Linked DNA regions of Ovis aries. Each later gene encodes a partner of the first gene's protein in a complex. Links are inferred from orthologs where the notes say so. Each region holds a gene or a part of one and is shown on either strand. Other genes may lie near its edges.

The links. Proteins that work in one complex are often made in the same cells at the same time.
Region 2: the proteins of NAA20 (region 1) and SNCA are in contact, whole or in part, in a cryo-EM structure (PDB 7STX), measured with the Homo sapiens proteins. The link is inferred for Ovis aries from reciprocal best matches to the Homo sapiens genes NAA20 and SNCA. Residues at the interface, in NP_057184.1 of Homo sapiens: Leu23, Thr24, Glu25, Tyr27, His73, Val74, Thr75, Ala76, Leu77, Ser78, Leu110, Phe111, Tyr137, Tyr138, Ser139, Ala140; in NP_000336.1 of Homo sapiens: Met1, Asp2, Val3, Phe4.

The regions. Positions count from the first base shown.
Region 1 is NC_056066.1:39,155,373-39,158,942, forward strand, and holds part of NAA20 (N-alpha-acetyltransferase 20), read left to right. Parts: intron 1-1,869; coding exon 1,870-1,960; intron 1,961-2,383; exon of another isoform or gene 2,384-2,590; coding exon 2,591-2,726; exon of another isoform or gene 2,727-3,570. UniProt on the Homo sapiens protein: Catalytic subunit of the NatB complex which catalyzes acetylation of the N-terminal methionine residues of peptides beginning with Met-Asp, Met-Glu, Met-Asn and Met-Gln. Proteins with cell cycle functions are overrepresented in the pool of NatB substrates.
Region 2 is NC_056059.1:35,550,252-35,553,821, forward strand, and holds part of SNCA (alpha-synuclein), read left to right. Parts: intron 1-1,407; coding exon 1,408-1,550; intron 1,551-3,570. UniProt on the Homo sapiens protein: Neuronal protein that plays several roles in synaptic activity such as regulation of synaptic vesicle trafficking and subsequent neurotransmitter release.

The DNA.
Region 1 (3,570 bases):
AACTCTTCTTTAGATGTTTGTTAGAAGTCACCTGTGAAGCATTTGGTCCTGGATTTTTGTTTGTTGGATGTTTTTAAATCACTGTTTCAATTTAAGTACTTGTGATTGGTTTGTTCATATTTTCAATTTCTTCAATCTTGGAAGACCATATCTAAGAATCTGTCCATTTTATTAGCATACAGTTGTTTTGTAGTTTTTATGATCCTTTGTATTTCTGTGGTGTCAGTTGTAACTTCTTTTTCATTTCTAATTTATTTGAGCTTTCTTTTTTCTTGATGAGTTTGGGCTAAAGGTTTATCTGTTTTATTATTTCAAATAATTAGCTTTTAGTTTCATTGATCTTTTCATTTATTTCTTCTCTGATCTTTATGATTTCTTTCCTTCTACTAATTTTGAGGTTTTGTTTTTCCATCTGGTGTAATGTGTCATTTCAGGCCTGTGTTTCCTCATTGGTTTTGTCTCTGTCCATTGATGAAAGTGGCTTGTTAAAGTCACCCACAATCACTGTGTTGTTGATTTCTCTTTCTCTGTTATCATTTGCGGGATATAGTGAGGTGCTCCTGTGTTGGGTGCATGTATACGTCTTTTTGGATTGATCCCTTGATCATTACGTCTCTTGTAACAGTCTTTAAAGTCCATTTTATCTGATATGAGTATTGCTACTCTAGCTTTCTTTTGATTTTTTATTTGCATGTAATACCTTTTTCTGTCCCTTCACTTTTAGTCTGTGTGTGTCCCTAGATTGCAAGTGGGTCTCTTGGAGACAGCATATATATGGGTCTTGTTTTATATCCATTCAGCAAGTCTGTGTCTTTTGAGCATTTAATCCATTTACATTTAAGGTAATTATTGACACATTCTTTCTGCCATTTTCTTGTTTTGGGTTTGTTTTTGTAGGTATTTTCTTACCTTCCTTTTTTATTCTCTTGTGGTTTGATGTCTGAAGCTAAGTCGCTTCAGTCGTGTCCGACTGTGTGACCCCACAGACAGCAGCTCCCCCGTCCCTGGGATTCTCCAGGCAAGAACACTGGAGTGGGTCGCCATTTCCTTCTCTAATGCATGAAAGTGAAAAGGGAAAGTGAAATCGCTCAGTCGTGTCCAACTCTTCACGACCCCATGGACTGTAGCCCACCAGACTCCTCCGTCCATGGGATTTTCCAGGCAAGAGTACTGAAGTGGGGTGCCATTGCCTTCTCCTAAGTTAATACTGAGAAGTATAGAAATGAGTACAACTCAGCAAGACAGCAGAGCTGAAGAGCTAAGTAATGAGCAAAGTACTCAGGCATTCATTTTAACATCAGGTTTTTATTTTGGGCATTACTAGAAATGCAGAATTTGAATCAGTGGACTGGACAAACTGAGTTTGTTACGTAGCCTTTGGAAGTAAACTACAGTTATTTTCACTGTCCCGTGCCTGAAGCTCCTGAAGGCACTCGTCACCCTTTCTAGTGCAGAAAGGGAGAAATAAACATACTGAGGTTGCACTGTGTCTCCAGCACCAGGGGGAGAGGGCAGGTGACACTCTCACTGTAAGGGGACAGGAGACAGGAATGCCAGGTGATGGGGAAGTGCTGTGCAGGGAGGGGGATCTAGACATAGTGTGAGCAGCGGGGAGACAGGCTGTAGAACTTGGGGGTCCTGGTTCTCCACTCTTGGATGGTATGTCTCCATTCACATCTGAGGTTACATATTCAGGCAGTTTTCTTAAAACTTAGTGCTAACCTAAACATTTCATGTAATGAATTGATTGCAGAAATCATACATAAGGCTAGGGATAAAGGAACAATATGCTTTTTAAAGGAAACTTCAAAACGTTTTGTGAAGAACTCTGACTGCCCTTACTTTGCATCCTCCTTAACGAGTCTCTAGTATGGGATTCCTTTTTACCTACAGTACCTTGCCCACTGGCCAGAATACTTCATCGTCGCAGAGGCCCCTGGAGGCGAGTTAATGGGTTATAGTAAGTATAACACTACTAGTACTTTTCTGGGTTAGCAGTTAAGATAAAATTAGTTTTTAACTCTTAGACTTATCACAGAACTGGAAATCATGATGCCTGTAATTTTCTTTTCAACTCTTTGACAGTTTACTGATATCTCTGTCTTAGGTACTGTGCTAGGCTCAGGGGATAGAGCAGTGGCCCAAACAGAAGTGGTCATGTTACTGGCTCAAGTTTGAGCTGTGGATTGTCTATTGTGTATACATACATAGATACCCACACAAAATGTAGGTTGTTTAAATACATATCAAGTAAGAGCACTAATAATAATTAGCTAGATGGCTTTAAGCAGCCGTCCCCAAACTTTTTGGCATCAGGGACCGGTTGCATGGAAGATCAATTTTCTGGTGGGGGTGACGACGGTTTTTGGACAATTCAGGCACATTACATTTATTGTGCACTTTATTTCTATTATTATTACATCAGCTTCACCTCAGATCATCAGGTCCCCAGAGGGTGGGGACCTCGGCTTTAAGTGTTACTTAAAAATCAGAGCTTGGTCATTTCCTTTATGATAAAAGTGCACCACACAGTATTTCTCTGTGTGTGAGTTGCCATGTTTAGTTACTGGATGCGGTCTTTCATTGGCAGTCATGGGCAAAGCAGAAGGCTCAGTGGCGAGGGAAGAATGGCACGGGCATGTCACAGCTCTGTCTGTTGCCCCGGAGTTTCGGCGCCTTGGTTTGGCTGCTAAACTTATGGAGTTATTAGAGGAAATTTCAGAAAGGTAGGAGCCTGTTTTTCAAATAATTCTTGAACTCTAACCATTTGGTTTTTCTCTTGGTGAATGTTTATCAGTTGTTTCCTTCAGGTTGAATGTGTCATGATGCAGTTTCATAGGAGTTTCATGTTCAGCCTCTAAAAGTCGTTACAACAGTCCTGTCACATATTCATAGTGGTGGTATTGTCCCTGTTTTGCCACTGAAGAAAATTAAAGCAGAGTGAATAACGTTCTGTAGACTCTTGAGCTGGGTAATTGGTAGAATCAGAATCCAGCCCTCAAGGTCTCTGTTACTGTTTTTGCCACTGGCAGACATTCCCCAATTCTTTGTTAACATTGCCCTTTGCATCTCAGTGATATTTTTCATAGTGTCCTAGGCTAAAGAAAAGTTTAGAGTTTTAAGCAGTGAAACTGAAAGAAATATTTTCATTTCATTGTTAGTCACTGTGGTTATCTCCTAATGAGATGGCGCCTGCTGGGCATCACATGGCTTCTCAAACCTTGGAATCTGATTCTGGAGAACCACCTGCACTCTTGTTTCACATTGATTTTCATGTGGTCCTGGGGCTTTATAATGACCGGAATTGCTAAAACCCTGGCTTCATAAAGACATTGTGTCACCAAGAGAAATATAATGTGATGTGTATTTGTGAACTATACAAAGCCAGTAGTTTGCCTGTGTTTTCCCAAAATGTTTGAAATATTCTACAGCACGTCCATGAGTTTGGACCACCTGGGAGCACAGTTTGAACAGCCAACATTGTGGCTTTTTTTAAAAGACCTGTTTCATATATCAGACATTTGTTATGTGTTACTTTTATTAAATCCACCAAAGTGGAGTGTTTTACAG
Region 2 (3,570 bases), on another chromosome or scaffold:
AGATATAGATAAGAATGCAAGACCCAGGCTTTATGAGTGTAAGTGTTATAAGGTTTTAGTTCAGTTTAGTTGTTCAGTTGTGTCTGATTCTTTGCGACCCCACGGACTTCAGTATGCCAGGTTTCCCTGTCCATCACCAACTCCCGGACCTTGCTCAAACTCATGTCCACTGAGTTGGTGATGCCATCCAACCGTCTCATCCTCTGTTATCCCCTTCTCATGCGTTTGATCTTTTCCCAGCATCCGGGTCTTTTCCAATGAGTCAGTTGTTTGCATCAGATAGCCAAATTATTGGACCTTCAGCATCAGTCCTTCCAATGAATATTCATGACTGATTTCCTTCAGGATTGACTGGTTTGATCTCCTTGCTGTCCAAGGGACTCTCAAGAGTCTTCTCCAATACCATAGTTCAAAAACATGAATTCTTTATAGTCCAGCTCTCACATCCATACATGACTACTGGAAAAAGGTTTGGGTGGAGAGTTGTCTTGTTTCCCTTGACCTTGAAATTGTTAAAAGTGTAGAATCTCATCTTTAACTGCTTTTTCATAAAACTCTTAATTGAAACAGACTTTTTTTATTGCAGCTTTGTTTATTTGATATTTGTCTGGAGTTAATATAGAAAGATTAATTCAACAGTTATATATAGTCTTGGATAATTTTTGACATGAGATCGAATCTCTTTCTAAATCTAATCCCAAACTATTTATACCATCATCTTAAAATTTAACTCATTTTTAAAAGCCTACCGAATCTCCATATCTTATTTTTAATGAAAAGAAATTAAGTGTGCTCAACAAACAATTTCATTTCATACTTTAAGTCCAGCTCTTTTGTTCCCATTAAAATGACTGAAAATAAATCTTAACACTAAAACTCATTCTGTTTCAACTACCTGATGCTTCATAAAAGGATCAGCATAGTCATCCCTCCCTCTGTTTTATTTCTGATGGTACCATGTGAGAGCGTGTATGATTCTGTGACTCAGAAGGTGTGATGAAAAAAACATGCTGAGTGAGATCAAAGACTTGGCATTGAAATTGAAATAAAGAAATATTTCATGCAGAGTTTGATACAACTACACCTGCAAGCCTTGCTTTCTGTAAACTTTCTTTCATAAAATGTAAACCAGAGTGAAATTGCTTATAGCCCTAAATTTGTGATCATTAGGCTTGAAACACCTTTAAATATCTGCATGATTGCATAGACTGTCTTGGCAAAGAATCTGTGTTTGGCTAAGCCACGCTCACTTAGCAATCCCAGTAACTTTTTCTTCTCCTGACTCACCAGTTATCTACGTGTGTGAATATAGGTCTTTGGAAGTTGATGGTTAGTGGAAGTGAAATTATTCCTAGTGGCTGTTGGTCCACCATCCCTTAATCTGTCATTATTTTTGATTCATCCCAGTGGCTGAGAAGACCAAAGAGCAAGTGACAAACGTTGGAGAGGCAGTGGTGACAGGGGTGACTGCAGTGGCACAGAAGACAGTAGAAGGAGCAGGGAGCATTGCAGCTGCCACTGGCTTTGGCAAAAAGGATCATCTGGGCAAGGTAGGACTGTGTACATCTTGTTCCATTTCTAAGCTTGTGGATCACCATTGCATTTTCAGCAAGGCACAGAGGCAAGAATAAGATGCTTACTTGCGGGAGAGCTGACTGAGCTTCCCTCATTAAAAAAAAGTACTCCCTTTATATGTATTCTTTTTGGAGAAACTCACCCAGATAAATACTGTGAAAATCGCACAATAAATGTGATTGTTTTATTTCCTGGAAAAAAAAAGTTAATGAAATGAACAGTGTAACAAATGTTTAAAAGAGCCGTGACATTTCAGAAAGAATGGGTGCTTTTATGTTGGCTGTGAATCTTGGAATTTTTCTTTGTTGGAGTATAGCAAAGGCTTTGTGCCCAGTCTCTAAATGTTCAAAATGAAAATCTTTTACTTAATTTCTTTATAGTGACATCATCTCTTATTAAATGGCATATTTGCTTATTATATAACAATTCACTGCCAAATATATGTTTGTGGAAACGGAGGGGCTTGAACAATGATCATGGTTTTGGGGTGATTTTAAAATTCTCAGAATTCTTACTTTTCCTTTCTTGACAAATATGAGACTCTAGGAAAATTATCCAAGAGTTAGGACTTTCATTTTAAACAAATAAGCAACAGAAAATGAGGTATCAACTGGAAGATGAACATTTTACAAAATTCATCACCATAAGCAGATTCTTTTTTTTTTTTAATTGAAGTATAGTTGATTTATAATGTTGTGCCAATCTCTGCTGTACAACAAAGTGACTCGGTTATGGTCGTATATATATTCTTTTTTATATTTTTCCCATTATGGTTTATTCCAGGTGATTGGATATAGTTCCCTGTGCCACAGTAGGACCTTATTGTTGTCCATTCTAAATGTGATGACTTGCATCTACCAGCTTCCAACTCCCAGTCCATCCTCCCCTCTCCTCTCCATCTTGGCCACCACAAGTCTGATCCTATGTCTGCGAGTCTACTTCTGTTTTGCAGAGAGGTTCATTTGCATCCTACTTCAGATTTCACATATAAGTGGTGTCATATGGTATTTATTTTACTCTTTCTGACTTCGCTTAGTACGATAATCTCTGGTTGCATCTGTGTTGCTTCAGATGGCATGATTTTGTTCTTTTTTATGGCTGAGTAGAATTCCACTGTATATATGTCATGCCTTCTTAATCTGTTCATCAATCAATGGACGTTTAGGTTGTTTTCAAGTTTTGGCTATTGTGAATAGTGCTGCTACAAACATAGGGGTATATGGGTTCTTTTGAATTATAGTTTCGTCTGGGTATATGCCCAGGACTGGGATTGCTGGATCATATGGTAAATCTATTTTTAGTTATCTGAGGAACCATCATCGTGTTTTCCATAGTGGCTTCCCCAACTTATATTGCCACCAACAGTGTAGGAGAGTTCCCTTTTCTCTACACCCTCTCCAGCATTTATTATTGATAGACATTTTAACAAAGACCATTCTGACAGATGTGAAGTGGTACCTCATTGCAGTTTTGATTTGGATTTCTCTAATAATTAGCAATGCTGAACATCTTTTCATGTGCCTTCTAGCTATCTGTATGTCTTCTTTGGAGAAATGTCTATTATGGTATTCTCATTTTTTTGATTGAGTTGTTTGCTTTCTTATTATCGTTGAGTTGTATGAACTGTTTGTGTATCTTAGATATTAAGTCCTTGCCGGTCGCATCATTAGCAGCAGAATGATTTTTGTTTTTTCCCTGCCACAAAGGCTTCCTGGCTATTCTTTAAATCCATATAGTGTACCCTTGCCTTGACTCTTCCCACTGTCTAGAAAGCTCTTCTCCAGTGTAAGTAACCCTGACTCACTCCCTTATCTCCTCAGGTCTTTGCTAAATAACACCTTCTCAGTGAAGCCTACCCTGACCTATTTAAAATTAGAACCATTCTCCTTACCTCTGGTGTTCCTAATTTTTCTACTCTTTTTAAATTTTTGACCAAAGCATTTATCACCTTTAGAAATAATAACTGGCTTAATTATTTTTATGCATATTGTTTAT